Anolis sagrei: one gene and its partners. The protein of the gene in region 1 interacts with the protein of each later gene in a pairwise test. Links are inferred from orthologs where the notes say so. Each region holds a gene or a part of one and is shown in the gene's direction. Other genes may lie near its edges. The genes, in order: MEOX2, CNTNAP2, OIT3 and NAA10.

Region 1 (7,908 bases):
AGAGAAAGATACAGTTGATAGGTAGATAGGTAGGCAAATTTTAGTCCTCTGTCTATCTATCTATCCACATAGATATAGGGGGAAGAGGGAGATACATTTGGTAGATAGATATATAGATAGATCAGGCATGGGCAAACTTCAGTCCTCCACCTATCTATCTATCTATCTATCTATCTATCTATCTATCTATCCTTCCATCCACATTTATATAGGAAGTGAGAGATATATAGTTGGTAGATAGATAGATAGATAGATAGATAGATAGATAGATAGATAGATAGATCAGGCATGGGCAAACTTCAGTCCTCTATCTATCTATCTATCTATCTATCTAGCTAGCTAGCTAGCTAGCTAGCTAGCTATCCTTCCATCCACATTTATATAGGGAGTGAGAGATATATCGTTGGTAGATAGATAGATAGATAGATAGATAGATGAGAGAGAGAGAGAGAGAGAGAGAGAGAGAGATCAGGCATGGGCAAACTTCAGTCCTCTATCTATCTATCTATCCATCCATCCATCCATCCATCCATTTATCTATACAACTAGATATAGGAAAGGGGAAGAGATACAGCTGGTAGATAGATAGATAGATAGATAGATAGATAGATAGATAGATAGATAGATAGATAGATAGATAGATAGATAGATAGATAGAACAGGCATGGGCAAACGTCAGTCCTCCATCTATCTGTCTATCCATCCATCCATTATCTATACAACTAGATATAGGAAAGGGGGGAGATATATAGTTGGTACATAGATAGATAGATACAGCATGGTTAAACTTTGCTTCTCTGTCGATTTCCATGTATCTATCTATCATCTATCTATCTATCTATCTATCTATCTATCTATCTATAAACACAGACATAGGGATATATACAGTTGGCAGATACTAGATATATAGATAGATCAGGCATGGACAAACCGGTCCTCTATATTTATCTATCTATACAAATATATATATATATAGAGAGAGAGAGAGAGAGAGTTGGTAGATAGATCTATAGATAGATCTATAGATAGATCAGGCATGGGCAAACTTCAGTCCTCTATCTATCTATCTATTCCCTATATATATATATATAGAGAGAGAGAGAGAGAGAGAGAGAGAGAGATACAATTGCTAGATAGATCAGGCATGGGAAAACTTTTTTCCTCCAGATGTTTTGGACTTCAACTCTCACAATTCCTAACAGGCAGTAGGTTGTTAGGAATTGTGGGAGTTGAAATCCAAAACAGTTGAATACAAAAATATATTATTTTATGTTTATTTCGAATATTTGTACCTCACCCTTCTCTACCCTGGAAGGGGGACTCGGGGCAGCTGAGATAGAAGAAAGAGATGGGTGGATAGATTAGATAGATAAATAAATAAATAGAAAGTCAGTTAAAATGTTCATAATAAAACGTAAAAACAATTCACATCACAATTTAATATATTATGTTGGCATAGGGGTAAGAGATACCTTTGGATAATGGTTTTAGGGATCAGGTGGGGGGGGGGGGTGCCAACAAGCTCTGGCATGCCATTGTAGAGGCTGTCCTGGATTCAAAAAGAAAAGGCAGACTTGTCTGAGACCACAGATCATTCCTAAGCTTATAAAACCAAAGAATCTATATGGGAGGATATAGATTGGTGTTCTCTCAATTTGTTTCAAGGAAACCTCTGCATATGTAGCATCCTTTCATGTTCTAAGTATGAAAACCATAAAATCAATATGTGTCAAGATGGTAATCAAGTAGCTTGACAGGTGTGGGGAGCCCTGCCGTAAAATGAATTGTCCACACTTGTAATTGCACTGCAGCGGAAGTGCTAGTCCACAGCTGTTTGCCATATTGAAATGTATTCACTTGACTGAAACAGACCTCTGGCCAAGGGGCTTATTTTGGGCCAGAGAGAGAGAGAGAGCAAGTTTAAACTCTCCAGGAAACTTCATTTCTAGACTCTTTGGATCTGAATCCAGTGCACACGGGTTTCTGTCTATCCCTATTAGCACATTTCTTCAGAGACACCCCAGTGTGAAAGGCATCTTGATCTGAGGGATCTCTTTCATTGTTTCCACAGGCTACTTTTACACATCATAGAACTGGTCCAAGTTATCCATCTTCTAAATAAAAAATCAACAGTCGCTCCAGGACAAGACTGAGACATCTCTTTTCAGCACTAGTTAAACTATAAACTATTTTGCTGACAGACATGAGGAGGCTGGTAAAGATTGTATAAATGAAGTTGTGGTTTTTAAAGGCGATTGTTTTGAAATATATGGAGCATGACTCTTGGAGTGAGACTGAGAGCTCCTATTTGACAAGAAAATAATTCCAGGATAGTCTTAGATTTGTGACTAGCTTTATAACAATCACTGTTTTTGTTTAAAAGTTGGAAAAGAGCACAAAATTACTTCATCGAAATCAATTCTCTGTATATGTGGTACAGTAAATAGCTGTACACCCAATCCACCAAAATGCTGGGGAGTAAGAATTCTAATATTTAGCAAGGGGAAAAATATAACATTTTTATGGCACATCACATATGTTACCTCAATAATCCTTATAACCTAGTAAACTCAGCTGATGTTATTATTCCCATATTGTGAACAGGAGGAATGCTTAGGCCAGGGATAGTGGCTTCCCTAAGGTCATTTTATGTCTTCAAGGCTGAAGGAAGTTTAGAATCATGATGAACTTCCCATATTATAACTCTTTTCTCACAGTTCATACTCCTGCAATTCAATATCATGCAGGCTTACTGAGAAGTAAATCCCATTGAATGTAGTGAGAATTCCTCCCTAGTAAATATGTTTAGAATTGTATCCTTAACCAATATCCTGCACCAGGGAAACTAGCACTTAAAAAAAAACCTCTTGAGGCAATGAAGCAGAGAAGATTTCATTTACCTTTTTTACTTGCCAGGAAAAGATATCCTGAGAGTTGCAATATAAAATATTTATGCAGAATTCTCCCCATGGATTTTGGAGAGAAATGTGAGGATGCGAAGCTTATTTTCCCTGAGCTGCTGGGTCCAGTGAATCCAGTATTTAATATGGCCCTGATATCCCAGGCTTGCTCCCAGCTTGAGACAAGGAAAGTTCATAAGGCCATATCACACATTAGAAAACAGCTTATGCTGACGATTCATGGAAATGAAAACTAATATTCAAAAATATACCTGAGATAAAATAGCCTTTAGGGGCAACCATAAAAATCAGTGGGTTTAAATTAAGTCTTTTCCAGCTGCAGCTTTGTTTTGAACCTTCTTGTGATTCTGAAGTGTGTGTATGTTTGTCTTGGGGTATTGCAGTTTTAGCTGAAAGGTCTTGAGGGTCCTTGGAGAAACATCTACAACCTCATCAAATAGCTGGTTCTGGACCTCCATGTAAAGAGGTTCTTAGTCTCACCATATACATCTTTAAACCATGTGTAAATTGTCTCATTGATGACTATGAATGTAGGTGTATATTTGTGGCGGGAAGCTCAATTGGCCAGGCTTCTCTTTAGTCAGTGTCCATGTTGCATTAAATAGACTTGTGTCCCAGATACTGGCCTACATATGAGGAAGGAGGTCCCAGGACTAAATTGTTTACTGTGACATGTGATGGGCTATTGTTCATCAGTTCATGAGTGAGATCATGGAAAGGAAATTTGATGACTGTGTTGAAATGAAGAGAAGAATAAAGACCAAAAAGTCTGTATTGTTCATAAGAAGTTCCATCATGCTGACTCTTTTCAATGAGACATCTCACAACAGTGTCAGATAGCTGCTAAGGTCTCACAACCAGTCCCTAACCTAACTACCTGTCTCTGGTCTCTATTCTAGTAGAGCTTCTGAACTCAAGATTTTGGGGGTTTCCATTAGTGGGAGAACATGTGCAAAGGGAAGTGTGGAGAAACTGGAACCAGTTTACCACCTTTTTCCTAAGCAGCATGGTTTCAGTGGCAGCTGAACCTGAGGAACAGTTCAAAATTTTAGTCTAAAATGTAGCAGAGGTATCCAAGGTGCTGAATGGTGTTTCCAAAACAGCTTTGGACATTGGATAGTTCTTTCAAATATAGGGTTAGAGCCTGGACTAGATTCACCACTCTTGCTGAAAGGGGACACATTTGATGCCAGTATGAGTATACGGAGCTTTAGTCAAACCATTCTGTCCTCTGGAAGGTGAACAGAAGAATTTATGCAGCAGGAGATACAACCTAGTTCTAGCTGCCACCTCTGCCTGCTTACTTGGTCACTTTTAGTTCTAGGTGACATAACAAAGGCAATGGAGTCTGCTGGGTCCATGCAACCTTGAAGAATGGTGTAAATGGGCAAAGCAGAAAGGATTGAAACACGAGACCAATTAAGCAGGTCTTGATTTCTCAGTTGTGGCACATTGAGCTCCTTGATCTGGTGGCATAAAGTGAAAGATCAGAACCAAGTTCCATCCAGAAAGATTTGCCCAGCTTTTCCCCATTCAACAATTTCAACTCGACACTTCTGTCCAGTGGAAAGGGCAAATTGTTTGGAGAAGGCCCCATCCCATGTTGTTCATGGAGGACAATATCATGGAAGTAGGAGGAGATGCCTTCTTTATCCAGGGTCTGCTGCTTAGGAGAGAATCAATTGGGGAGTGAGGGAAGTCACACAGAACCAAGAATCATCCAGAAAGATTTGCCCAGATTTCCCCTACCCAACAACTTCAACTCAGCACTCCTGTCCAGTGAAAGGGGCAGATGGTTTGGAGAAGGTCCAGTCCCATGTTGTTCATGGAGAACAATATCATGGAAGTAGGAGGAGACGCTGCTTAGGAGAACCAATTGGGGGAGTGAGGGAAGTGACACTCTGAGCCGCATCCTGCACCACCCAAGAGAGGTTTAGTCAATGGAAGTGCCCATTAGCCATTGCTTCCCCGTCCTTCCTTGGGTAGTAGTGATGAGGCCCAGAGGGAAGGAGCAGCAGGAGTGGCTCCAGCTGAGAGTGAGAGGGATCTATTGTGGGGGGAGCCAAGAGAGTTGGGCTGCCAGAAGTTGAGAGGAGGACCCTGGCTAAGAAGGCATGAGGACAGCCCCCCTGGGGTCAGGGCTTGGGTCCTCCGAGTGGCCGGTGGCAGGGCTGTGAGGCTGAAGCGGGGAGGCCGCTGCCTGTGGTCAGTGCGCCGTGCAGCCTAAGCCAGCCCCCGGCTCACGTTACACACTCCTGTATTTATAACCTCGGCGAGCCGCTTCCCCCGCGGAGGAGCAGCCACAACAGCAGCAGCAGCAGCACTCGGGACCACCTCCTTTTTGCCGGCAGAGCCGAGCCCCGCGCCCCTTTCCCCCCACCTCCGAGCCAAGCCAGTGAAGCCACCGCCGGGACCGGTTGCGCGCCGAGGACTTGGATTATTATTCCCGGTTGCGCTCCCTTGGCCCGCCTCGCCTTGCCTGGACGTGCCCTGCCTGGCTTCGGGGGTGGCTGGCAGGAGAGCCGAGGGGCAGGAGGAGGAGGAGGAGGGGGGCGAGGAGGACCCGGGCACCAGCGCCTGGTGGTTCTGGGCCCGCGGCGGGCTTTCGGGGCCGGAGGCGCGCGGGTCCCGCTTGGTGCATGCCATGGACCACACGCTCTTCGGCTGCCTGCGCAGCCCCCACCATGCCCCCGGCCAGGGCTTGCACCCCTTCTCGCAGTCCGCCCTCGCCTTGCACGGCCGCTCGGACCACCACATGTCCTACCCGGAGCTCTCGGCCTCCTCCTCCTCCTGCATCATAGCCGGGTACCCCGGCGAGGAGGGCATGTTCGGCAGCCAGCACCACAGGGGGCATCACCACCACCATCACCATCACCACCATCACCAACAGCAGCAGCAGCCGCAACAGCCGCCGCCTCACCAGGCTTTGCAAACGAATTGGCACATTCCGCAGATGGCTTCGCCGCCGCCGCCCCCTCCACCTCCTCCTCCGCCGCCCGCCTCGTCCAGGCATAGCCTGTGCCTCCAGCCCGACTCGGGGGGACCCCCGGAGCTGGGCAATAGCCCCCCGGGACTGTGCTCGAACTCGCCGAGCTTGGGAAGCAGCACCCCGACGGGCGCGCCGGGAGATTATGGCAGGCAGGCGCTGTCCCCGGTGGAGGCCGAGAAGCGCGTCGGCAAGCGGAAAAGCGACAGCTCAGGTAAGGAAGGGCACACAAGGGGCTTCTCCCTGCGAGACGGGAAGGGGAGGTGGAGAGGGGCAGCCCGGGATGGGCGAATCGCCCAAGACTCCTCCTGGCCACTCCTGGCCTGGTGTCACTTTTGGGGGGCGCAAAAAGCTTTGTATGACGGCTAAGGCATAGGCCATGCGGTTGAACCATGAAATCGCTCGTCCACACTTCCCAACAGGCCAGAGGGGGGAACTCTCGGGGAGTTTGGACTCGTGTGCGCCTCTGACACCTGGGTTTCCCTTCCGGGATTCCCCACTTGGAAAAGAGAAGCGCTTTCCCCACTCCATCAGCCAGTTTATTTCCCTAGTTTCTTTTTTCAGCCAGTGCTTAACTCTCGAGAAGTTGGCATTTCTTCTTTTGGTTTATTTTATACAGGATGTTTTAATGCTATACTTCTTTGACTGGGAGTAAATCCCAATGAGATAAATGGGATTTACGTCTATGTAGACATGGATTCCTATCCATTACAAAGCTTTATTTGGTTTGTTTTGTAGAGGAAGCCATAATCCTATGGCTGGGATAAATCCCAATGAAATAAATGAGGTTCATGTCTATATAGCAGGCATGGCCAAATTTAAGCCCTCCACGTGTTTTGGACTTCAACTCCCACAATTCCTAACAGCCTCAGGCCCTTCCCTTCACTTAAGCGGCTGAGGGGGGAAAGGAAGGGCCCTGAGGCTATTAGGAATGGTGGGAGTTGGAGTCCACAACACCTGGAGGACCCAAGTTTGCCCATGCCTGCTATATAGGCACAGATTTGTCTCCACTACAATGTTGTAACATACACGTCCCTCTCCTCTGTCGTTTTTACAAGTTATGTGTTCTGTATTTAATAGCTTCTGTAATTTCCAGCTTTTACATGCTACATACAATTTTATATACAGGGTCCTGAACATGTTTGGAAAAGGATTTGAATTATTAATCTACTAATTAGTGAAATCTAAGAAAATGTCCCTCTATTATAATCAATTTCAGTTCCTTACTGAAGCATATTTACATAGGATACACACTCACATACTCAGTTAAGGATTTATTGTGCTAGTAATATGCCTGTTTGATTTTGAAAGTAAATCGAGGTGTCACTTTGGCTATATATATATGTGTGTACTAGGGTTGGATTAAATGTGCTACCAGCATTCCAAGCAGTTTTGTATGACAGATGTTGGCCCCATGATAAAACTGCTAAAGGTAAGTTATACAGACAGGCACATGCAAAAGAAAAGGAAGTTGTGGTTAGAAAGAGAAAGTAATAGCATTTCCCTTGTATTATTAGAAATACAAGGGAAGCCATGATCATGTTTCCTTTAAATGCAAGCTGAATAATGAAAAAAATAGTTTTCTTTCTGCATTTTCTATATTTAACAGACTTATTTCTATTTTCAATAATTTCCCTATACCAATTATAACACTTTTTCAGAAGTTGACAGGTTCTCATACTACATACCTAGTGGTTTATAAAGAAATTGGTTTTTCCAAATCATCACTAAATATGTAACATGTATGAAGAAAATTCAAATTTCTAGGGCATATAATTTTAAATTGGCAGATGGGTAAGTGTAATAACTTAAAATTCTATTACCTAAAAATGGAAAGGAAATTTTAATTTCACTTTGTTGTTATACTTCAAGTCTCAAATATGTAAACTTAAATTACAATGAATTACAGTATAATCCACAACACAATGAAGCAATTTTCATTTATTTGATATGTGAATATTGTTGTTCTTAATATTACCGCTTTATACTCATACTCATAAT
Region 2 (6,871 bases), about 32 Mb from region 1:
CAGGATTTTCAACCAGATAGGTTTTTCTCTGAAATAAGAACTAGATCAGTAGCAATAGGAACACAATATCAAGTTTAGATCTTCATATGTCTGCCTGCAGCTGTCACCAATCAGAACATATAAAATAAATGCATTCATTTTCCGGTCCCAATTCAAGGTGCAGGTGCTTACCTACGAAGCCCTAAACGATTTGGGACCTGCCTACCTGCGTGACCGCATCTCCGTATATGAACCCACACGATCTCTCCGATCATCTGGAGAGGCCCTGCTCACGATCCCACCTGCGTTGCAAGCACGATTGGTGGGGACGTGGGACAGGGCCTTCTCCGTGGTGGCCCCCCGACTCTGGAACTCTCTCCCCAAGGACATCAGACAAGCCCCAACATTGCCAGTCTTTAGGAAGAGCTTGAAGACGTGGTTGTTCCAGTGTGCCTTCCCAGAATAGGAAACTCCAAACATTATGTCCCAAATGCACTTTATTAGAGATTTAAGACTGTCTGCACACCACACCTATCTCCAAAAAACCTATCCATTTCACCTGTCATGCCCAGCATTTTAAAAATTTTAATAGTTACATTGGCCCGGCCTTAGTTTTTAAATGTGTCATGGTTATTATTGTCTAATGCTAATTGTTATTGTTTTAATGTTTATTGCCTGTTTTATGAGTTTATTTATTGTTGTATTTGTTATGATGTTGTTTTTTGATGTGTTGGGCTTCGGCTTCTTGTAAACCGCACCGAGTCCTTCGGGAGATGCTAGCAGGGTATAAATAAAGGTTTATTATTATTATTATTATTATTATTATTATTATTATTATTAAGTGAAGAAACTGGAAATGATTATGGGGAGTATGGTTTCATCTTCTTACTTTCCCTTTCACACTTCCTTGTCCCCTCTGTGTCCATCACTTTCTGTGCCTTAGCATGGGCACAGAAGATGGGGCTGGGGAAGGCTGCTTTTCCCTTGCTAAGCGCCCGACTGCCTTCTGTGGCCAAGACTTTTGAGTTGCCGGGGGACAGCCCTCCTCACGCCTTTCCTAGGCGAAGGCCAACGCCCGGCAGGGAAGGCGGAGGGAAGCTGTCCAGGTTTCAGCACTTCGGTTCAAATCCAATGTTGGTGGGGTTCAGAATGCTCTTTGATTGTAGGTGAACTATAAATCCCAGCAACTACAACTCCCAAATGACAAAATCTTTTTTTTTTTTTTTGAGTGAAGGACATACATTGAGTGGTTAAGTGTCTTGTGTCCAAATTTGGTGTCAACTCGTCCAGTGGTTTTTGAGTTCTGTTAATCCCACAAATGAACATTACATTTTTATTTATATAGATAAATGCAAGTGAAGAAACTGCAAATGATTATGGGCAGAGGCGGCCCTAGGAAATTTTCAATGGTAAGCAAACAGTATTTTGGTGCCCGCCCCCCCACCCACCCAACCAATCACTGATATATATTTTCTGTTCGTCATGGGAGTTCTGTGTGCCATATTTGGTTCAATTCCATCATTGGTGGAGTTCAGAATGCTCTTTGATTGTAGGTGAACTATACATCTCAGTAACTACAACTCGCATGTGTCAAGGTCTATTTTCTCCCAAGAGCGCTTCAAGAGCGCCCCTGGGCAAAATCAACTACACTGCAAATGCTTACTTTGCGTAATGGGTTGAGCCGCCCCTGATTATGGTTTCGTCTTCTTCTTTCCCTTTCACCCTTCCTTGTCCCCTCATAGAATCATAGAATCAAAGAGTTGGAAGAGACCTCATGGGCCATCCAGTCCAACCCCCTGCCAAGAAGCAGGAATATTGCATTCAAATCACCCCTGACAGGTGGCCATTCAGCCTCTGTTTAAAAGCTTCCAAAGAAGGAGCCTCCACCACACTTCGGGGCAGAGAGTTCCACTGCTGAACAGCTTTCACAGTCAGGAAGTTCTTCCTTCTGTTCAGATGGAATCTCCTTTCTTGTAGTTTGAAGCCATTGTTTCATGTCCTAGTCTCCAGGGAAGCAGAAAACAAGCTTGCTTCCTCCTCCCTGTGGCTTCCTCTCACATATTTATACATGGCTATCATATCTCCTGTCAGCCTTCTCTTCTTCAGGCTAAACATGCCAAGCTCCTTAAGCCGCTCCTCATAGGGCTTGTTCTCCAGACCCTTGATCATTTTAGTCGCCCTCCTCTGGACACATTCCACCTTGTCAGTATCTCTCTTGAATTGTGGTGCCCAGAATTGGACACAATATTCCAGGTGTGGTCTAACCAAAGCAGAATAGAGGGGTAGCATTACTTCCCTACATCTAGACACTATACTCCTATTGATGCAGGCCAAAATCCCATTGGCTTTTTTTGCCGCCACATCACATTGTTGACTCATGTTTAACTGGTTGTCCACGAGGACCCCCAGATCTTTTTCACACGTACTGCTCTCAAGCCAGGCATTGTCCCCCATTCTGTATCTTTGCATTTCGTTTTTCCTGCCTAAGTGGAGTATCTTGCATTTGTCACTGTTGAACTTCATTTTGTTAGTTTTACCCATCTCTCTAATCTGTCAAGATTGTTTTGAATCCTGCTCCTGTCTTCTGGAGTATTTATCCCTCCCAATTTGGTGTCGTCTGCAAACTTGATGATCATGCCTTCTAGCCCTTCATCTAAGTCATTAATTCACTCTGGGCAAGAGCGAAGAGAGGCCAGGGGACAGCACCATCTTGTCTCCTGCATTTGCCATCCGTTGGGGACCCCTCCCCTCAGCACCAACTGCCGCTCTGGGCCGGAGTGAAGAGAGGGGGGCCAGGGGACAGTTCCACCTTATCTCCTGTGCTATTCTAATAATATGTTATAATATAATATATAATATATTGTATTGTATAATATTGTAATGTAATGCAATATAATACTACTAATAATAATATGATATTATAATTATATATTTATATTACATGTAATATTACTAATAATATTACAGTATAATTGATATAGTGCAATATAGCAATAATTAAAACTGATATTGTACTATGTTAATAATATATTGTATGTATATATACCTTGTAAGCCGCTCTGAGTCCCCTTCGGGGTGAGAAGGGTGGCATATAAATGTCATAAATAAATAAATAAATAAATAATAAATTAATTAATACTGTGTCCATCACTTTCTGTGCCTCAGCATGGGCACAGAAAATGAGGCTGTTTTTCCCTTGCCAAGTGCCTGACTGCCTTCTGTGGTCAAGGCTTTGAGTTGCCGGGGGACAACCCTCCTCACGCCTATCCCAAGCGAAGGCCAACGCCCGGCAGGGAAGGCAGTGGGAAGCTGCTCTGGGGTTCCAGCACCTTGGACAGTGACGTGGGGAAAAAGCTCTCTGGTGTTTCAGCACCTCAGTCAGCGAGCGTGGTCCAACCTGGCGCTACAGAGACTCTGGGTTTCAGCACCCTGGATAGTGACGCGGGGAGAGAAAGCTCTCTCTAGTGTTTCAGCTCCTCGCCCAGCGAACCGGGTCCAACGCGGCGCTACCGCTGCTCTGTGGTTTCAGCACCTTGGACAGTGACGCGGGAGGCAAGCTCTCTGGTGTTTCAGCACCTCGCCCAGCGAGTGCGGTCCACCCGGCGCTACAGAGACTCTGTGGTTTCAGCACCTTGGATAGTGACGCGGGGAGAGAAAGCTCTCTGGTGTTTCAGCTCCTCGCCCAGCGAGCGGGGTCCAACCCGGCTCTAGGGCTGCTCTGGGGTTTCAGCACCTTGGACAGTGACGCGGTCCAAGCTCCCTGCTGTTTCAGCACCTCGGACAGCAGCACACTGCAAGCAGGCGCCGCATCGGAGAAGAGGCTCCGCCGGCCAGGGAGGGCCGCACTGACGGAGGCGGCGACGGGGAGGAGCTGCCGCTGCTGGCGGAGGAGCTCGGGAGGGGAGGGAGGGGAGGAGGATTTTCCCGCAGCTCTCCCTCCTTCCTCCTCCTTGCCTTCGCTGGGTCTGCTGCTTCTGCTGCCAGTCGATTCCTCCTCTTGGCAGCGAATGACGACTGGAGGCGGCCAGAGCCTCTGAGACAAGCTGCTCCTTTGCGGCCCATCGGACGCCTTGGCTGAGAAGAGCAAGGCCAGGATTGGGAGGAAGGGCTGCGCCTCTGGCTCTCCTCTTCTTCTTCTTCCTCCTCCCCCGGTGCCTCCCGCACTCCAAGGGGGAGGCGCGTTGTGAAGAAGGGGGCGCCGAAGTGCCCGGGACTTGGCTTCTCCAGGAGGAGGGGGAGTGAAGTTGCCCCCCTCTCTCAGCATACCCGAGTGAGGAGGCGGCGCCGGCCAACCCGCAAGGGAGAGAAGGCACTTCCAGCCTTTGCTTGGTTGTTTCCCTGGCTCCTGGGACCCCCGCGGCGGCGCCTGGCAGCCCAGGATGGCTGCGCTCCCCCTGCGCGCCGGCAGCCGGGCAGCGCTCTTCCTCTGGATTCTCGGCCAGCTCAGCTGCAGAGCCCGCACAGCCCCACCGGCTTCCCGTAAGTCCTGCATCCCTCCACGCAGGAGGAGAGGTTGGGTTCGGGGGCGGAGGGGGGCCGGCTTCTGCGTCGAGGGGCTGCGGCAGAGAGGGAAGTTTGGCTGTGCAGAGAGTGGCTCCCGGAGGACGGTTGGGTTGGCTGCGCTTTCGGGGAGAAAGGAGGAGAAAGTTTGGCCTCTGCTTGAGCTGGACGGCAGCCTTTGGAGCTTGTTTTCAGTTAAGAGGTGACAGCAGCAGCCGGTTGGGTTGGATGCTGGTGGACCAGAGGCGTCCTGGGCTGCAACAGAGCCAGAAAAAAGCATCTTTGACTGCTAGGCTGTCCTGTTTCTTTTTGTCGCGTGGCTTCAGGAGACTGTTGGGCTTGGCAGGGCGGGTCCCTCTCCTAACACTGCCCTGAAGATTGACTGGTCTCCCTACTGCCAGCCTTGGGCTTTGACTCAGCGCATTTCTCTCCGCTGGCCCCACTTTTCGGAGGCAGTCCTTCCCTTCTCCTTTTGAGAGCTGGGCCTTAGTAACTCTAGAGCAGGGGTCCTCAAACTATTTAAACCAGTGGTTCTCAACCTTTCTAATGCTGTGACCCCTTAATACAGTCCCTCATGGTTGTGGTGACCCCCAACCATAATATTGTTTTTGTTGCTACTTCATAACAGTCATGTTACTACTGTTATAAATCATAATCTAAATATCTGATCTGCAGGATGCATTTACATTCACTGGACCAAACTGGGCACAAATACCCAATACGCCCAAATGTAAATGCTACTGGGGTTGGGGGAGGATTGATTTTGTAATTTGGGAGTTGTAGTTGCTGGGATTTATAGTTCACTTATAATCAAAGAGCATTCTGAACTCCACCAGCAATGGATTTGAACCAAACTTGGCTCCCATGACCAATTGAAAACACTGGAAGGGTTTGATGGGCATTGACCTTGAGTTTGGGAGTTGTAGTTCACCTATATCCAGAGAGCACTGTGGACTCATGCACTGGTGGATCTGGACCAAACTTGGCACAAATACTCAATATGACCAAATGTGAACACTGGTGGAGCCTGGGGAAAATAGATTTTGACATTTGGGATTTGTAGTTGCTGGGATTTATAGTTCATTACAATCAAAGAACATTCTGAACTCCACCAACAATAGAATTGGCTCAAACTTCCCACATGGAATCCCCATGACCATCAGAAAATACTGTGTTTTCTTATGGTCTTTGGCGACCCCTCTGACACCCTCTCGCGACCCCCTCAGGGGTCCCGACCCCCAGGTTGAGAAACACTGATTTAAACAGAGGGCCCGGTCACAATCCCTCAAACTGTTAGAGAGCCGGATTATAATTTTTTTTAAAAAAAATGAATGAATTCCTATGCAAACTGCATATATCTTATTTGCAGTGCAAAAACTTAAAAATAATACAATAATTAAAATGAAGAACAATTTTAACAAATATAAAGTTATTTGTATTTCAATGGGAAGTGTGGATCTGCTATTGGCTGATTAGATAGGGTTGTTGTTGTGTGCTTTCAAGCCATTTCAGAGTTAGGTTGACCCTGAGCAAGGGCCAGGTAAATGGCCTTGGAGGGCCGTATCTGGCACTCGGGCCTTAGTTTGAGGACCCCTGCTCTAGAGGGCCTTCCACTCACTCTGACTATCAGGGATATAGCTTTCCATGATGACTACAGGGGAAGTTTTGCTTCTACTTCCTGGGTGTGTTCAGGGTTTTAGGCCTGCCATGGAATGCTGGACCTATTGTAATCCAGCAGAAAGGCATCCAAAGGCCCCTTCCACACAGCCCTGTATTCCAGAATATCAAGACAGATAATCTCACTATATCTGCTTTATAATCATAGAATCATAGAGTTGGAAGAGACCTCATGGGCCATCCAGTCCAACCCCCTGCCAAGAAGCAGGAAAATTGCATTCAAAGCACATCCATGCCTTGGTTCAGAGAAGTCAGCTATGTCTATGAGTTCATAAGTGTGTGTCTACAAAAGTACCTGGTAGGGTAATGAATGGAGACAAGGTGGTTCCAGATTTTAGAATGGATGAGTGCAATTCTACTCACTCACTGCATGTTTTATATAAAGGTCTTTAATTTCCAGGGAATAAGATTTCCTTGATCATAGAATTATAGAATCAAAGAGTTGGAAGAGACCTCATGGGCCATCCAGTCCAACACCCTGCCAAGAAGCAGGAAAATTGCATTCAAAGCACACTGGACAGATGGCCAACCAGCCTCTGTTTAAAAGCTTGAGAAGGAGCCTCCACCATACTCTGGGATAAAGAGTTCCACTGCTGAAAGGCTCTCACAGTCAGGAAGTTCTTCCTAATGTTCAGATGGAATCTCCTTTCTTGTAGTTTGAAGCCAATGCTCTGTGTCCTAGTCTCCAGGGCAGCAGAAAACAAGCTTGCTCCCT
Region 3 (7,271 bases), on another chromosome or scaffold:
GATGTGTGAGGCCAACCTTATATTGCCAAATGTAAGGATGGAGCATTGAGATATTTGGATTTTATTAGCCCATGGGTTCTCCCCTTTTCTCCAAAATGTTTATTTTGTCTATTTTTGCACTTTTGTGTTGGATTATTTTTATCTTTCCTGTCTGCATTTCATTCCAGTAGCAATTTTGTTTGTTTGTTTGTTGTTGATTTAACATTTCCTAGAGCATGATATGAACTCATGGATTTCTAGTGTAACTTGTTTACCAAAATGTGATCTTCCTAGTTCCTTGACCTCGAGCTATCAATCTTAGAAGCATGTCCAAGCTTATCTGGACTATGCAACCTCCAGTGAACTGCAGACCAGGACTTGCCATGTGTGGCAATTTCACATCATCCGTGATAAGTGTTATTTTTCTTCTTCCTATGTCCTGCATTTTGTCGAAACTATATTTGGTAGAAAAGATTACAGAAAATGAATGCACTCTATGGCTTCCCGTCAAATTGGTGAGTCAAAACAGGATTTGCAAACTTTTCCAATCACACTAGGAGGATTCACTCCAACAAATGACCCTATTTCTTCCAAAAGTGTGCACAGAAATTCAGTGCTTGGAATTACTTGTAATGGGGGTACTCTTATGAGACTAAATAAATCCTTTTTTGGTTACATTTAAAGGAAAATTTAAAGCATTTTGATGGAAAGTTTCAAATTTTATGGCATTCTCTTATCAATTATAACACTCCTTGGCAACTAACAAAAAGCAGTCTGAAGTTGCAAGCAAAACACAAGCAATAAATCCACTCTGTTTAAAGCATGTAGTGACTAAATCGGTGGTTCTCAACCTTTCTAATGCCATGACCCCTAAATGTAGTTCCTCATGTTGTGATGACCCCCAACATAAAATTATTTTCGTTGCTACTTTATAACTGTAATTTTGCTATTGTTATGAATCGTACTGTAAATATCTGACATGCAGGATATATTTTCATAGATACAAATGGAATCTAATTAAAACAGTGATTAATCAGAAAAACAATATGTTTGGGTCGGTATAAACAAGGGATGATAGGATTTGCAGTACCTTCAACAGATTCAGCTCTGACTTCCACAGACAGCTAAGACCCCCCACGAATTACAGACTTGGACCAAACTTGGCATACAGAACTCCCATGACCAAAAGAAAATACTGGAGAGGATTGGGGAAGATAAACCCAGATATTTGGGAGTTGCAGTTGTACCTGCAATCAAAGAGCATTACGAACTGCACCAACAATGGAATTCAATCAAACTTAGCACCTACCTGGCAGGCTGTCACTAAGCTTAGCACTAATCTGGGCCACTGTCTCTTGTATTCTATGAACTGTGGTGCAAATAAATAGGATCCCATGGGGTAAAGTGATTTTAACCTGGGCCCCTGTCTCTTGCATCCTATAGGCTGTGGTGCATACAGATAAATAGGATCCCATGGGGAAAAGTGATTTTAACTTGGACCCCTGTCTCTTTTATCCTATGGGCTGCGGTGTAGATCAATAGGATCCCATGGGGCAGGCATGTAGCTGGGGTGGGGCGCTTGAGGGGCTTCAGCCCCTCCCCCAAATTATCATGGTGGTCCGCGAGAAGGCCTTACTGGTGCATTATTTAAACTGTTATGTTTGTTTATATCATGATCTGATCACCATGCTCAATATATCCCATAAGCATGGGGGTATTGGGGTAACGATACAAAAGGTTTGCTAGGGTAGACCCTCTTTCACTCAGATTCACCCCCCCCCCCCCGAATCAAACTCAGCTCCCCCCAAATAAAAATCCTGGCTATGGGCCTGCCATGGGGAAAAGTTATTTTAACTTGGGTGGTGCATAAAAATAAGATCCCATTTAACCTGGGGCCCTGTCTCTTGCATCTTATGGGCTGTGGTGCAGATAAATAGGATCCCATGGGGAAAAGTGATTTTAACTTGGGCCACTGTCTCTTGCATCTAAGACTCCATCTACACTGCCATATAATGCAGTTTGAACTGCATCATATGGTCAGTGTAGATTCGTGTAATGCAGAGTGAATTATAAGTTAGAAAGTGGCACTGTGGAAACAGGAAATTTCTTGCAGGTTCCCCCCCCCCCCCCCCGCAGTATACTGTACGTCTCTGCTTATATAGACGCATTTCAAACGTTAATCCTTAATACAGAAAGACAAGTCACTGGAGGCTGGAAACTCTACAGTCTTGTGTAAGCTAACAACATATGATGAAGGGTAATGGCTTTGCACCAGTTTCTCTCTTCAGTGCAGACAGACATAAACAAGAGGCCATTGTGATTATCTGGTTTTAATGGATTCCCATTGATCAACCATAGAGGGAGCAACTAATGTCCAAATGAATAACACTAGGCAGCAAACATGAACTGAGCTTGGGAGGAGAAAAAGAAATGGCCAGGAAATATCTTTCTTATATGTCATTGTATTTCACATCAGAAATGGGAAGCTGAAACTTATCACTTTTTTATTTGATCCTGAATGGTGAAGTACACCAGCTTGTAAATAGACAGCACATTGCTTCCCTTGACTGGCTGTACTGTCAACCTTCAGTGGCAGTTTATATTTCGGAAGCACCAAAACCAGCTATTCTCTTTGATAGCTCTGCAGTAAGAGCATCGGTTTTTCATTTGTGTCTGCTATATATCGGTGTTTACTATTTGGCTTTTATTATGTAGCAGTGTGTCCTCTGCTTCATGTGCCAAATTTTAAGATGGGGCAAGGTTTAGGATGAATCTAGAACTCATTCGAACAAGTTTCTGGATTTCTCCCATGGCTTTTATAACATACTGCAAAGTTTCACTTGGCATGGTGTGTCAAAGGGACATTTTAGTTCTGGTCATTACATTGTATTTTTGCTGTCCTGTTCAGTGCAAAATACTTCAACTGCCCTACTTCTGACTACCAAGTTAGGACCAACACCTGACCATCATGCCAGCTTTCTGTACAGTACTTTAACCCATCCTAACTCTTGTTCTTTACCTGATTGAGTTGAGAAGGATATTCCTTATCTACTCCATTCCATATTATTATTATTATTATTATACTTTATTTGTACCTCGCTAGCATCTCCCAAAGGACTCGATGCGGCTTACAAAGGCCAAGGCCTCAACACACAATATAACAATACAAAACCTAAGGCAAATTAAAAACAATTAAAGCAATATAACAACAAGCAATAAACAATACACTAAGACACAATAAAACTGGGCCGGGCCAGAGTGATGGGTACAGGATTAAAAGTGCTGATGTGACAGGTGGTATATAAGGCTTATAGGGCAAGTGCAGTGTGCAGTGTGCGGCAATCTGAGTTTTAATAAAGTGCTTATGGGACTTGGAGATTTCTTATTCTGGGAAGGCACACCGGAACAGCCAGGTCTTCAAGTTCTTTCTAAAGACTGCCAGGGAAGGGGCCTGTCTAAGATCTTTGGGGAGGGTGTTCCAGAGTCAGGGGGCCACCACAGAAAAAGCCCTGTCTCGTGTCCCCACCAAACGCGGCTGCGACGCAGGCGGGATCACGAGCAGGGCCTCTCCAGATGACCGAAGTGAACGTGTGGGTTCGTAGACGGAGATGCGGTCACGCAGGTAGGATGGTCCCAACCGTTCAGGGCTTGTAGGTAAGCACTTGCACCTTAAATTGGGCTCGGAAAATGAACCGCAGCCAGTGGAGCTCCTTGAACAGGAGGGTTGACAACCTCTCTGTAAGGGCCCCAGTTAACATCCTGGCCGCTGCTCGTTGGACCAGTTGGAACTTCTGAGCCGTTTTCAAGGGCAGATCCATGTAGAGCGCATTGCAGTAGTCCAATCTGGAGGTGACCAAGGCATGGACCACCCCGGGCAGATCAGCCTTCGCAAGGTACGGTTGCAGTTGGCTCACGAGTCTCAATTGTGCGCCATTATACATTTATGTTCCCATTTGGAAACTTCAGGACTGAAACTTTGTTCCTTCATGTGCTGTTTCCTCAGAGCAAGAATCTCTCTGGTCACCTTTTCCTCTTTTAAGGAAATAGAATGGAGGGAAATTAAAATGGTGATAAAGATGACCCATCTTTCCTCCCCATCCCCGTTTGCACAGGATGTAGCCCTTTCTTGGTCACACTTTACAGATTAGATAGTAGAGGTGTCACTGGAAATCAAGAGAACAATTGGAGGATGGGTTTGAAAATATACCAAATGGGTGACATTTTTTTAAAAGTCTTTTTTGTCTCTAAAAGACAGAGTAGGTCAAGGCTACAAATGACCCCTCCGTATCCCCTCATCCTTTTCCTCTGATAAAACCCCTAGCATCCTGACTAGTCTTTCTCTGATCCACTCCGAGCTTGGTTCCACATTCAGACTGAAGACACATCACAGCAAATCAATTGAGTGCGTTTAACAGGATTATTCTGATACCACAAGTCGCCCTGGACAAGGAGGGATGTTTCTGCTTCTCCTTTTGTCCTTCTGCCTCCGGGCCAAAGCACAGCCTTTACAGGATAATACAGTGGGTGAGTAGATGCTAAACTATTTATTCAATGCCTGTACATGTCCTGTTAAGTCTCCTTGGCAAGTCAGCTTTTAGTGCAGTAAATACACAGGTGTTACGAAGGATGATGGAATCTTAAAGCAGATCTCGCAAAAATTACTTCTTCACAAGTGTTTTCCAGAGACCACTGTTGAAGCCTGAAAAAGAAACTTTTCCAAAATCGGATATAAAGTCAAGGTTGCAAACCTTATATTTTCACAGTAACACAGAATCCTGCCTGTGTTGGAAAGTATGATTCCCTCTCTCCAGGTATTAAGATTTCCGTGTAAATGTCACAAATATGTAAACCTTTGAATCAGTATCTCCTTACATTATATGCAGTAGGTTGACTTGACATCAGATCCTGTAAATTGATTCAAGTTGCCTCTCAACTGTAGAATTAATGGAGTTTGACCCTATTTTAACTTCTATGGCTCAATGCTATGGAAACCTGAGGTTTGTAGTTTGGTGAGGCACGAGTACAAGTTGGCAGAGAACGCTAAAAACCTCGAAGCTTACGATCCTCCGGGGAGGCCCTGCTCTCAATCCCACCTTTGTTGCAAACACGCTTGGCGGGGATGAGAGACAGGGCCTTCTTGGTGGTGGCCCCCCCACCCCACCTGTGGAACTTGCTCCCCAGCAAAACTGGGTCAACTGCTTCCCTCTTGTCCTTCAGGAAAAAGTTGAAAACCTGGCTATGGGACCAGTATTTGGATAGTAGGTTGATAAATGATGACCATGCTATGGTAAATGGACTGAGGTTTGTAGTTTGGTGAGGCACGAGTACAAGTTGGCAGAGAACGCTAAAAACCTCGAAGCTTATGATCCTCCGGGGAGGCCCTGCTCTCAATCCCACCTTTGTTGCAAACACGCTTGGCGGGGATGAGAGACAGGGCCTTCTTGGTGGTGGCCCCCCCACCCCACCTGTGGAACTTGCTCCCCAGCAAAACTGGGTCAACTGCTTCCCTCTTGTCCTTCATGAAAAAGTTGAAAACCTGTCAATGGGACCAGTATTTGGATAGTAGGTTGATAAATGACGACCATGCTATGGTAAATGGACTATGGACAGGCTTCGCACCAAGTTGTTGATTGTAGAACTCAGATTTACATGTGGCCAACTAATTGAATTTGCACTATTTTAAATGGTTTTAATTTAAATTCAAAAAACTGCCAGGCCATCAAATGCGAATCAAGGTGGTCAGTTGAAACATTCACACCTAGCTCCAGCAGACAAGAGTTCTTTGCCCCACCCTGGTCTTTCCATAGATATATAAACCCACTTTCCTAGTTCTAACAGGCCTCACTACCTCTGAGGATGCTTGCCATAAATGCAGGCGAAACGTCAGGAGAACATGGCCTTATAGCCCGAAAAAACCTACAACAACCCAGTGATTCCGGCCATGAAAGCCTTCGACAATATATTATATTATAGCTTACTTATTGCATACTATGGCTTCTCTCTGAAGTTTTTTTTAGTGTTTCTCAATACCTTCCTCTTGCATATGGATAGTACAGTTTTGGCTTCCTGAGCAAAGGTACTCACGCAGCTTGAACAGCTGAAATAGAATCATGCTGAATTGCAACCAGAATAACTATTGTAATCACAGGCAACCCTCGCCTCTCAAATAATAGGCAGCCAGCAGTCACTGTTCATTTCTGTCCAGGGTATTTTCTCATTAGTTCAGAATGCATCCTTGTTTCTCAACGGTGCTGCCAACAGTGTCTCACATTTCCTAAAATTTAGATTAAGTAATACAACAGTGGGAGAAGCGGCTTGGTGGGAATCCAATCTCAAAAAGAACGAAAAAGCTTTTTGCTCAGTTCGGATGTGCCTAATCAGAGCAATTGGGTATTTTAGTATAACTACGATCAAAAGTAATGAATTGGCCTTAGTCAAGAAAAACATTATCATAAATCCTTCCGCAATGGCAGACCCAGCCAGTTATGGCTAACTGATGCTTAATCAGGTGTTAAATATATGCAAAGATTAAGCTGCAAACTTTTGCTGCAGAAGCCGCTCACAGAAGATTAAGTACAACTCTGATGAGAAGTGAAATGAACATTTTTATTACATTTCTCTCTCTCTCTCTCGCCTCTTCCACTTGTAATGTTTTCAGAGTTTTCCGAAGTTCTGCTTGCTAGGAATAGCTCCGATGCTCTTCTCATCAGCACACAGTTCCTTCTGTTGGCACAGTGCTTCCTTCCTTGAGATCAATCAAGTCTTTTCCTTGAATGCATAATCTCCTCATTAATAGCAATTGGGAAAATGCCACTGTAGGGTGGTATACAGAAAGCACAGAGTTTCTATTGTGCGTTGCTGCATGGTAGGCGGTCGGACTGGATGGGCTTTGGAGTCCCTTCAAACTCTCTCTCTCTCTCTCTCTCTGTATATATATATATCTCTCTGTATATATATATATTGCTTTTACTTACTTACTTAGGCGATCCCTCATTGTCCGAGTAGGATAGTCTTCCAAGATCAGTGTACTGGTGGGTCCGTAGGTGACTGTGGAGCCCTATTTTTGATCTGCATCTTCTCCCGCAGTGAGGGCATCGGTAAAAGATGGTTCTGATCAAGGTTGGCTTGACGCGCCTTCCTCTTGGCACATTTCTCTCTTTCGCCCTCCATTCATGCCTCTTCAAATTCTACAGCACTGCTGGTCACAGCTGACCTCCAGCTGGAGTGCTCAAGGGCCAGGGCTTCCCAGTTCTCAGTGTCTATGCCAGAGTTTTTAAGGTTGGCTTTGAGCC
Region 4 (8,021 bases), on another chromosome or scaffold:
TCTAGCATGCCTGAGGACCTTTCTACACTGCCATATAAAATCCAGGTTGTCTGCTTTGAACTGGATTATATCACAGTGTAGACTGATATAATCCACTTCAAAGCAGACAATGTGAATTGTCTACTTTGATAATCTGGATTATATGGCAGTGTAGAAGGGGCCTGAGGAAGGATTTCTACTCTACCCATCTCCCCATTACAAATGATTTCTCTGTGAAGGAATAGCCCCACTAAAAACTAATTTTCCATCACTAACAAACCTCATCCCAAGGCCAACTGAAACAGAATGAATCTGCATAAGGTAAAAGAATTCAACAACTTGTGTAACACCATACCAAGTCTTAAAAGATTTCTGAAAATAAAAAAAAACACCTTATGTCCATGCATCTCCAGTCATAGGAATGGAATGGGGAAAGATTTTTTTTGTTTTCAGTCAGTCACTGATTATTCAGATTTGATCAAATTATTCTCTCTAGAAATTTCTTCAGTTCTTCAGTGTCGCTCTGTGGAGAACCTCCACCTGAACAGCTCTGTAGCAATCTCTATGGCAGTGATCCTCAAACTTTGAATCTTGACATTTAGGAGTTGTAGTTGCTGGGATTTATAGTTCACGTACAATCACAGAGCATTCTGAACCCTACCAACGATAGAATTGGGCCAAACCTCCCACATAGAACCCCCATGTGGGCCACAGCAATGCGTGGCAGGGGACGGCTAGTGTATGTGTGTGTGTGTGTGTGTGTGTATATAAGTCTACTCGTATGGGACTCTGGTGCTCATCTCCATTTCTAAGCCGAAGAGCCGGTGTTGTCCGTAGACGCCTCCAAGATTACGTGGCTGGCATGACTACATGCAGCGCCATTACCTTCCCGCAGAAGCGATACCTATTGATCTATTCACACTTGCATGCTTTCGAACTGCTAGATGGCAGGGATATAAAAGTTAAAATAAAATTAAAATGCCATTTAAAAACTCAGCATTGCTAAGCCAGAAACATAAATTTGCCTTAGGCCATGTAGGCAAGATTGAATGGCTTTCCTGATTTTATAGTTTAGGGTGCAACCCTAAACATACAAAGGTGTGAGCCCTGTAAAGGAGAAGAATTTACAAGTGAGTGAGTCGCTTGTGAATAAATATGCATAAATCAGTTAGTGAACACACAGACTTAAATCCTAATTTTTTTGAAAAGCATATCAAAGTTGCTCACTATCGCATGATTAGTTTCTAAAAATAATACAATTATGAACACAAAGAGGCTTAATAAGGAGCCGAGGTAGAGAAAATAACATGGGAAGAAGAAAATGAGTGCTGATTTGTGTGCTGATCTTCTCCAAACAGGGCATTTTCACTGGTTGTGCTTAGATTTGGAATGCATGGCACTTGGAAGATGTTTTCAGTAGACAAAAAAAAGGAGGTGAGCTGTGATCCTTAACTGAATCTGATCAGGGCCTACAAGGAAAGCTTGTACTCCAGGAAATAAAGGGTCAGCCTAGAAGTCCCACCATGAATGAAGCAATCCTCATCTATAGTCACTACCATACTCTCAGGAAATGCAGCTCTGACATGCCAGGGAGTAAATACTGGGGGTTTTTTTCCCCAGCGGAAGTGAACAAATGTGCTCTTTATGACTGCCGCCTGCTGGACAAGAATATAATCCTATCTTCGGGATCTATATTATTTATCCATGGCTTGCTTTTCAACAAGTGTCTCTTAAACCTTTTCCACTTGCTTCCCCTTATTATCCATTAAGTTTTTGTGTGTATAGGTATAGAACATAGGTATAAAAAGCAAACATTTACTGATAACAAATCAATATTTAGGGGACTTGCTACACAGGCTAATTTTCCTTTTTCTGGAGTACAGCTGAAGCATCTTCTGCAGATGTGTAAACGCTGCACATCGTCATTGCTAACAGATTTGTGTAAATGTGTGGCATTTGGAGACCTTTAACTGTTGCCAAATTTTGTGTGACCCCAGCATTGAACTAAGGGGACCCCATTTGGGGCCCGGAACCACAGTTTAAGAAGCAGTGAACTAAATAAAAGGCGGTCCACAGCATTTCTGATTTTAAGTGCTGCCACTCACAACTTCAAAGATCCAGAATTACAGTAAGAAAAAAAATTACCAGTTGAGTACCCTTTATCCGAAAAGCTTGGAATCAGAAGTATTTGGGATTTCAGAATGTTTGCATATAAATATATAGCCTGAAGGACTCTTTCTTGCTGAGGTGTTCCTGTGAGTATCTCTATAGCTCTTAGAACGTGATTTCTTGATTTAAGGTGTTGGCGTGCTGGCTGATATCCAAACAGAGGATGGGTTGCAGATGTCACTGCCTTGGTCCTTTTATTATTGGCTGCTACTTCGTGGCGGATGTCAAGTGGTGCAATACTGGCTAAACAGTGTAATTTCTCCAGAGGTGTTGGACACACTGTCTCATTAAGAGCCACATCCACTGTATTGGCATGGTGAGATGTGTTCCAGGCTGGGCATGCATACTCAGCAGCAGAGTAGCAAAGCGCAAGGGCAGATGTCTTCATTGTATCTGGTTGTGATCCCCAGGTTGTGCCAGTCATCTTTTGTATGAAATTGTTTCTAGTGCCCATCTTTTGCTTCGTATTCAAGCAGTGCTTCTTATAGGTCAGAGAACAGTCCATGGTAACTCCCAGGTATTTTGGTGTGTTCCAATGCTCCAGTGGTATTCCTTGCCAGGTAATCCTCAGAGCTCGAGTCCAACCCCCTGCCACGCAGGAAAAATATCTGTATTTATTTTATTTATATCCTATATTTATACCCTGCCCTTCTCACCCCCAAGGGGGGCTCAGGGCGGCCTCACAAACACCATACGGTGTCATCATAATAAAAAAAACCCAATACATTAAAATATTAAAAATATTAAAACAATAATTAAAACAATTGATTAACACACACCTATTAAAATCAAAGTCTAAAATCCAGTCGTGGTCAAATCATTGCCATAACTGTTAAAATCTTCTTTTACTTGCTGCTCACTAATTGAACGCTTAGTCCCATAGCCAGGTCTTGGATTTTTCTTCTAAAAGACAGGAGGGAGGTGGCCATTCTGATGATTCTGGGGAGAGCGTTCCACAGGCGGGGGGCCACTGACGGGAAGGCCCTGTCCCTGTCCCCACCAGTCAAGTTTGCCATGTTGGTAGGCATCTGGAGAGCAGGGCCTCTCCAGATGATCATTTTCGAGATGGTTCATATCAGGAGATACGTTCGGACAGATAGTCTGTGCCAGAACCGTTTAGGGCTTTAAAGGTTAAAACCAGTACTTTGAATTGTGCTCGGAAGCTGATCGGCAGCCAGTGGAGCTGGCGTAACAGAGAAGTTATGATCCCTATACGCCGCTCCAGTGAGCAGCCTGGCTGCCAACCGTTGGACTAATTGAAGCAGAGATGGCCATCCAGCCTCTACTAAAAAGCTTCCAAAACACCCGAGCCTGAGGGTTCCGCTGTTGAACAGCTCTTACAATCAGGAAGTTCTTCCTAGTATTCAGGTAGAATTTCCTTACTGCCATTTGAACCCATGGCTCCATTGAGTCCTAGGGCCCTTCCACACAACTGTCTAAAATCCACAGTGAATTACATTATATGGCAGTGTGGACTCAGATAACCCAGTTCAGAGCAGAAATTGTGGATTATCTGCCTTGATAATCTGGTTTGTATGGCTGTGTGGAAGGGCCTCTAGTGTCCAGAGCAGGAGAAAAGAAGACTGCTCCCTCTTCCTATGACAGCCTTTCAGTGAGATTTCAATTCATTGTATTGTCGAAGGCTTTCATGGCCGGAATCACTGGGTTGTTGTAGGTTTTTTCGGGCTATATGGCCATGGTCTAGAGGCATTTTCTCCTGACGTTTCGCCTGCATCTATGGCAAGCATCCTCAGAGGTAGTGAGGTCTGTTGGAACTAGGAAAATGGGTTTATATATGGCCCTAGGTAATTTTCAACGGTAAGCAAACAGTACTTTGCCCCTCCCCCCCCCAAACCAATCACTGATATAGATTTTCTGTTCGTCGTGGGAGTCCTGCGTGCCATATTTGGTTCAATTCCATCATTGGTGGAGTTCAGAATGCTTTGATTTTAGGTGAACTATACATCTCAGTAACCACAACTCGCATATGTCAAGGTGTATTTTCCCCCAAGAGCGCCTCAAGAGCGCCCCTGGGCAAAATCAACTATACTGCAAATGCTTACTTTGCGTAATGGGTTGAGCCACCCCTGTATATATCTGTGGAACGACCAGGGTGGGACAAAGGACTCTTGTCTGTTGGAGCTAGGTGTGAATGTTTCAACTAACCACCTTGATTAGTATTTGATGGCCTGGCAGTTGTTTTCAATTCATTGGAAGCGTGGTGGTGGGAAATTTTTTTGCAGAAACAAACTAATGAATTTATTGGGCGTTTGTAGGCCACAATGGCTGGATCTACACTGCCCTTATATCCCAGGATCTGATCCCAGATTATCTGGCTGTGTAGACTCATATAATCCAGTTCAAAGCAGATAATCTGGGATCAGATCCTGGGATATAAGGGCAGTGTAGATCCAGCCATTGTGGCCTACAAAAAAACCCAATACATTCATTAGTTTGTTTCCCACCTCTATAACACTTGTTAATTGGGAACTTTATTATAAGAGCGGGATTGGCAATCAATCATCACCTTTTGTAGGGTTTCTGGTACCGTGGGCGTCAATCGACCTCAGTCTAGTATCTAATAGGCTCCCTCAGCAATCAATCAAAAGCCACCTGAGTGCAGTCTCATTGACGGGTTTGTTCTCTAGAGAGGCTAAAAGAGGCGGGGACTGTCTTCCTAAAAGGGAGTGAGCAAGAAGCTTTGTGATTGGCCAGAGGGGCGACTCATAGACACACCCTGATTGGGTGTTGAGGAGGAGGCCTTTGCTCAGATTTGGATGGTGTTTCAAATTGGACAAGAGAGGGGGTAAATTCTGCATCGTGATTGGCTAGGGGATTTCTCTTCTCTGCTTTGCCATTGGCTGCGCGGCAGAGCTGGCCGCGTTCTTCCCGTTCTCGCCCAGCCCTTGTCTTCCCGGCACAGCTACAGGGCGTCGGTGGTTCCAGTGGCCGCGTGAGAGCCGAGAAAGAATCGTCGCTGCCATGAACATCCGGAATGCGCGGGTTCGAGTCCCGGTTGGGGCGGGAAAGGGTGGGCTTGGGGCGAGGCTGCCAGTGGTGGGAAGAGAGACAGAGAGAGAGGAAGGCCTGCCTTGGAGTTCACCCGCCCAGTCCAGAGAAAGGAGGGCAACAAAAAGAAGGCCCTCCTCATACCATATTTCAGTGGTTCCCAACCTTTGGGCCTCTGGGTGATTAGAACTTCAGCTCCCAGAATTCCTGACAATTGGCCCAGGTGGTTGAGGCTTCTGGGAGTTGTAGTCCAAAATCTCCCCAAAGGTTGGGAATCACAGGCCTAGTTCTTGAGGAGTGTGAGTGTGTCAACCAAGCCTATATCTGTTGGTGTCTGCATTCTCACAGGGATGCATCTACATTGAGGAATTAATGCAGTTTGATACCGCGTTAATTGACATGGCTTAATGCTGTGGAATCCAGGGATCTGAGGCACCTGGTAAAACAAGGGTTCCTTCCACACAGTTATATAAAATCCACATTGAACTGGATTATATGGCAGCGTGGACTCAGATAACCCAGTTCAAACCAGATGTGGAATTTTCTGCCTTGATGTTCTGGGTTATATGACTGTGTGGAAGGGCTCCCCCCCCCCCCCAAGCCTCTGGTGACACAGTGAACTTGTTGACTGAAAGGTTGCAGGTTCGAATCCGGGGAGCGACGTGAGCTTCTGCTGTTAGCCCCAGCTTCTGCCAACCTAGCAGTTTGAAAACATGCAAATGTGAGTAGATCAATAGGTACTACTCCAGTGGGAAGGTAATGGTGCTCCATTTAGTCATGCTGGCCACATGATCTTGGAGGTGTCTATGAACAATGCCGGCTCTTCGGCTTAGTAATGGAGATGAGCACCAACCCCCAGAGTCGGACTTAGATTATCTTGGGTTACATTCCCAAGATAATCTAATTCTGTAAATTTGTGCAAATACAGATATTCCCAAATCCAAAGTATTTTAGATAAGGGATACTCTACCTGTATTTGTTGCTCTTCTTTTAATTTTCTTGATAGTTTAGTTACATTTTTACTTTTGGACAGTGTAACTTTTTTCATCAGTACATTGGGCCTTCAGTATTGGCTGGGTTTTGGTTCCAGGACCCTCTGTGGATACCAGAAGCCATGGATCCTCATGGCACATTGTACACAGTGGCATAGTAAAATAATGTCACTTAGAAAAAAATGGTAAAACAAGGAAAAATATTTTCAGACCATGGATTATAGAATCCATGGGTTCAGAATTAGATACAAAGGAATGAATACACACACACACATATGAATCCCAAACTGAGAAAAGGTGGGCTATGAATATAATAATAATGGGAAAGCCAAGGGGAAAGAGTTATTGGGTGAAATATTTTGATTTTGACTTTCCACTATTAGGCAGTTTAGGGCAATTCTGTTGTTACTTTTTTAGGTAGCCAGCATTAGAAAAATAGAATCAGAGTTGGAAGAGGCCTCGTGGGCCATCCAGTCCAACCCTCTGCCAAAAAGCAGGAAAATCACATTCAAAGCACCCCTGACAGATGGTCATCCAGTCTCTGTTTAAAAGCCTCCAAAGAAGGTGCCTTCACCACACTCCGGGGCAGAGAGTTCCACTGCTGAACAGTTCTCACAGTTAGGAAGTTCTTCCTCATGTTCAGATGGAATCTCCTTTCCTACAGTTTGAAACCATTGCTCCATGCCTCAGTCTCTAGGGCAGCAGAAAACAAGCTTGCTTGCTTCTCCCTATGACTTCCCCTCACATATTTATACATGGCTATCATGTCTCCTCTCAGCCTTCTCTTCTTCAGGCTAAACATGCCTAGCTCTTTTAAGCCGCTCCTCATAGGGCTTGTTCTCCAGACCCTTGATCATTTTAGTCGCCCTCCTCTGGACACATTCCAGCTTGTCAACATCTCCCTTCAATTGTGGTGCCCAGAATTGGACACAATATTCCAGATGTGGTCTAACCAAGGCCATCTTTTTCATACATACTGCTGTCAAGCCAGGAATCCCCCATTTTGTATCTTTGCATTTCATTTTTTTTCTGCCTAAGTGGAGTGACTTGCTGTTGAGCTTCATTTTGTTAGTTTTGGCCCATCTCTCTAATCTGTTATGGTTGTTTTGAATTCTGCTCCTGTCTTCTAGGATATTAGCTATCCCTCCCAGTTTGGTGTTGTCTGCAAACTTGATTATCAAACTTGATGATCATAATCCTTTTCCACTGATTACATGAAAGACGATATGTTCTAGAATTACTCTAGATGATTTCATGAAAAATGCCTTGCTGGATCAAATCTGAGCCTGTCAATGGTTGTGGGTTCTCAAGGTGGAATAAAGGAGCAATATACCTCAGGATATTGGATCCTGAAGGCAAACAAGGTAGCCTTCCTTCCTTGTTTATGAATTGCCAGAGGCATCTGGGTATTTCTTGTCAGAAAGAAAAGGTCGGAGATTCTCAATATTTAATATTTCAAGGTACTCTTGCTCTTCTGAAAATGGAAGAATTATATCTGGTTATTACAGATCATAGTGCTTGACAGTCTATTTGGACTCAGTTTGATCCACCTGGTCAACTGTTACTGTTTGGGTTTGTATTATGCTTTGGGGAAATTATTAGGGCCTGAAAATAATGGCAACATAGTGGTTGTGATCATTATTGTGAACACAGCTTGTCTTCACACTATTTGGAGATATTGTTTAACATTTATATATGCTAGCCACACTCACCTAGTGGAAGGGATGGTCTTTTGATGGTCATTGCTGCTTTTGTTTATTTTCTCATCTTTTTTTGTCTGCCTTCCCCTTCCAGCCGGAAGACCTGATGAACATGCAGCACTGCAACCTCCTTTGCTTGCCGGAGAACTATCAGATGAAATACTACTTCTAT

What was found.
Region 2: the proteins of MEOX2 (region 1) and CNTNAP2 interact in binary tests that used the Homo sapiens proteins (3 or more experiments, as listed by UniProt). The link is inferred for Anolis sagrei from reciprocal best matches to the Homo sapiens genes MEOX2 and CNTNAP2.
Region 3: the proteins of MEOX2 (region 1) and OIT3 interact in binary tests that used the Homo sapiens proteins (3 or more experiments, as listed by UniProt). The two-hybrid records come from large-scale screens. The link is inferred for Anolis sagrei from reciprocal best matches to the Homo sapiens genes MEOX2 and OIT3.
Region 4: the proteins of MEOX2 (region 1) and NAA10 interact in binary tests that used the Homo sapiens proteins (3 or more experiments, as listed by UniProt). The two-hybrid records come from large-scale screens. The link is inferred for Anolis sagrei from reciprocal best matches to the Homo sapiens genes MEOX2 and NAA10.

The regions. Positions count from the first base shown.
Region 1 is NC_090026.1:96,461,297-96,469,204, forward strand, and holds the start of MEOX2 (homeobox protein MOX-2), read left to right. Parts: upstream 1-4,901; 5' UTR 4,902-5,565; coding exon 5,566-6,121; intron 6,122-7,908. UniProt on the Homo sapiens protein: Mesodermal transcription factor that plays a key role in somitogenesis and somitogenesis and limb muscle differentiation. Required during limb development for normal appendicular muscle formation and for the normal regulation of myogenic genes.
Region 2 is NC_090026.1:64,582,465-64,589,335, reverse strand, and holds the start of CNTNAP2 (contactin-associated protein-like 2), read left to right. Parts: upstream 1-3,859; 5' UTR 3,860-4,358; coding exon 4,359-4,458; intron 4,459-6,871. UniProt on the Homo sapiens protein: Required for gap junction formation. Required, with CNTNAP1, for radial and longitudinal organization of myelinated axons.
Region 3 is NC_090023.1:177,570,379-177,577,649, forward strand, and holds the start of OIT3 (oncoprotein-induced transcript 3 protein), read left to right. Parts: upstream 1-4,256; 5' UTR 4,257-4,433; coding exon 4,434-4,503; intron 4,504-7,271.
Region 4 is NC_090022.1:176,150,982-176,159,002, forward strand, and holds the start of NAA10 (N-alpha-acetyltransferase 10), read left to right. Parts: upstream 1-5,002; 5' UTR 5,003-5,130; coding exon 5,131-5,151; intron 5,152-7,943; coding exon 7,944-8,021. UniProt on the Homo sapiens protein: Catalytic subunit of N-terminal acetyltransferase complexes which display alpha (N-terminal) acetyltransferase activity. Acetylates amino termini that are devoid of initiator methionine.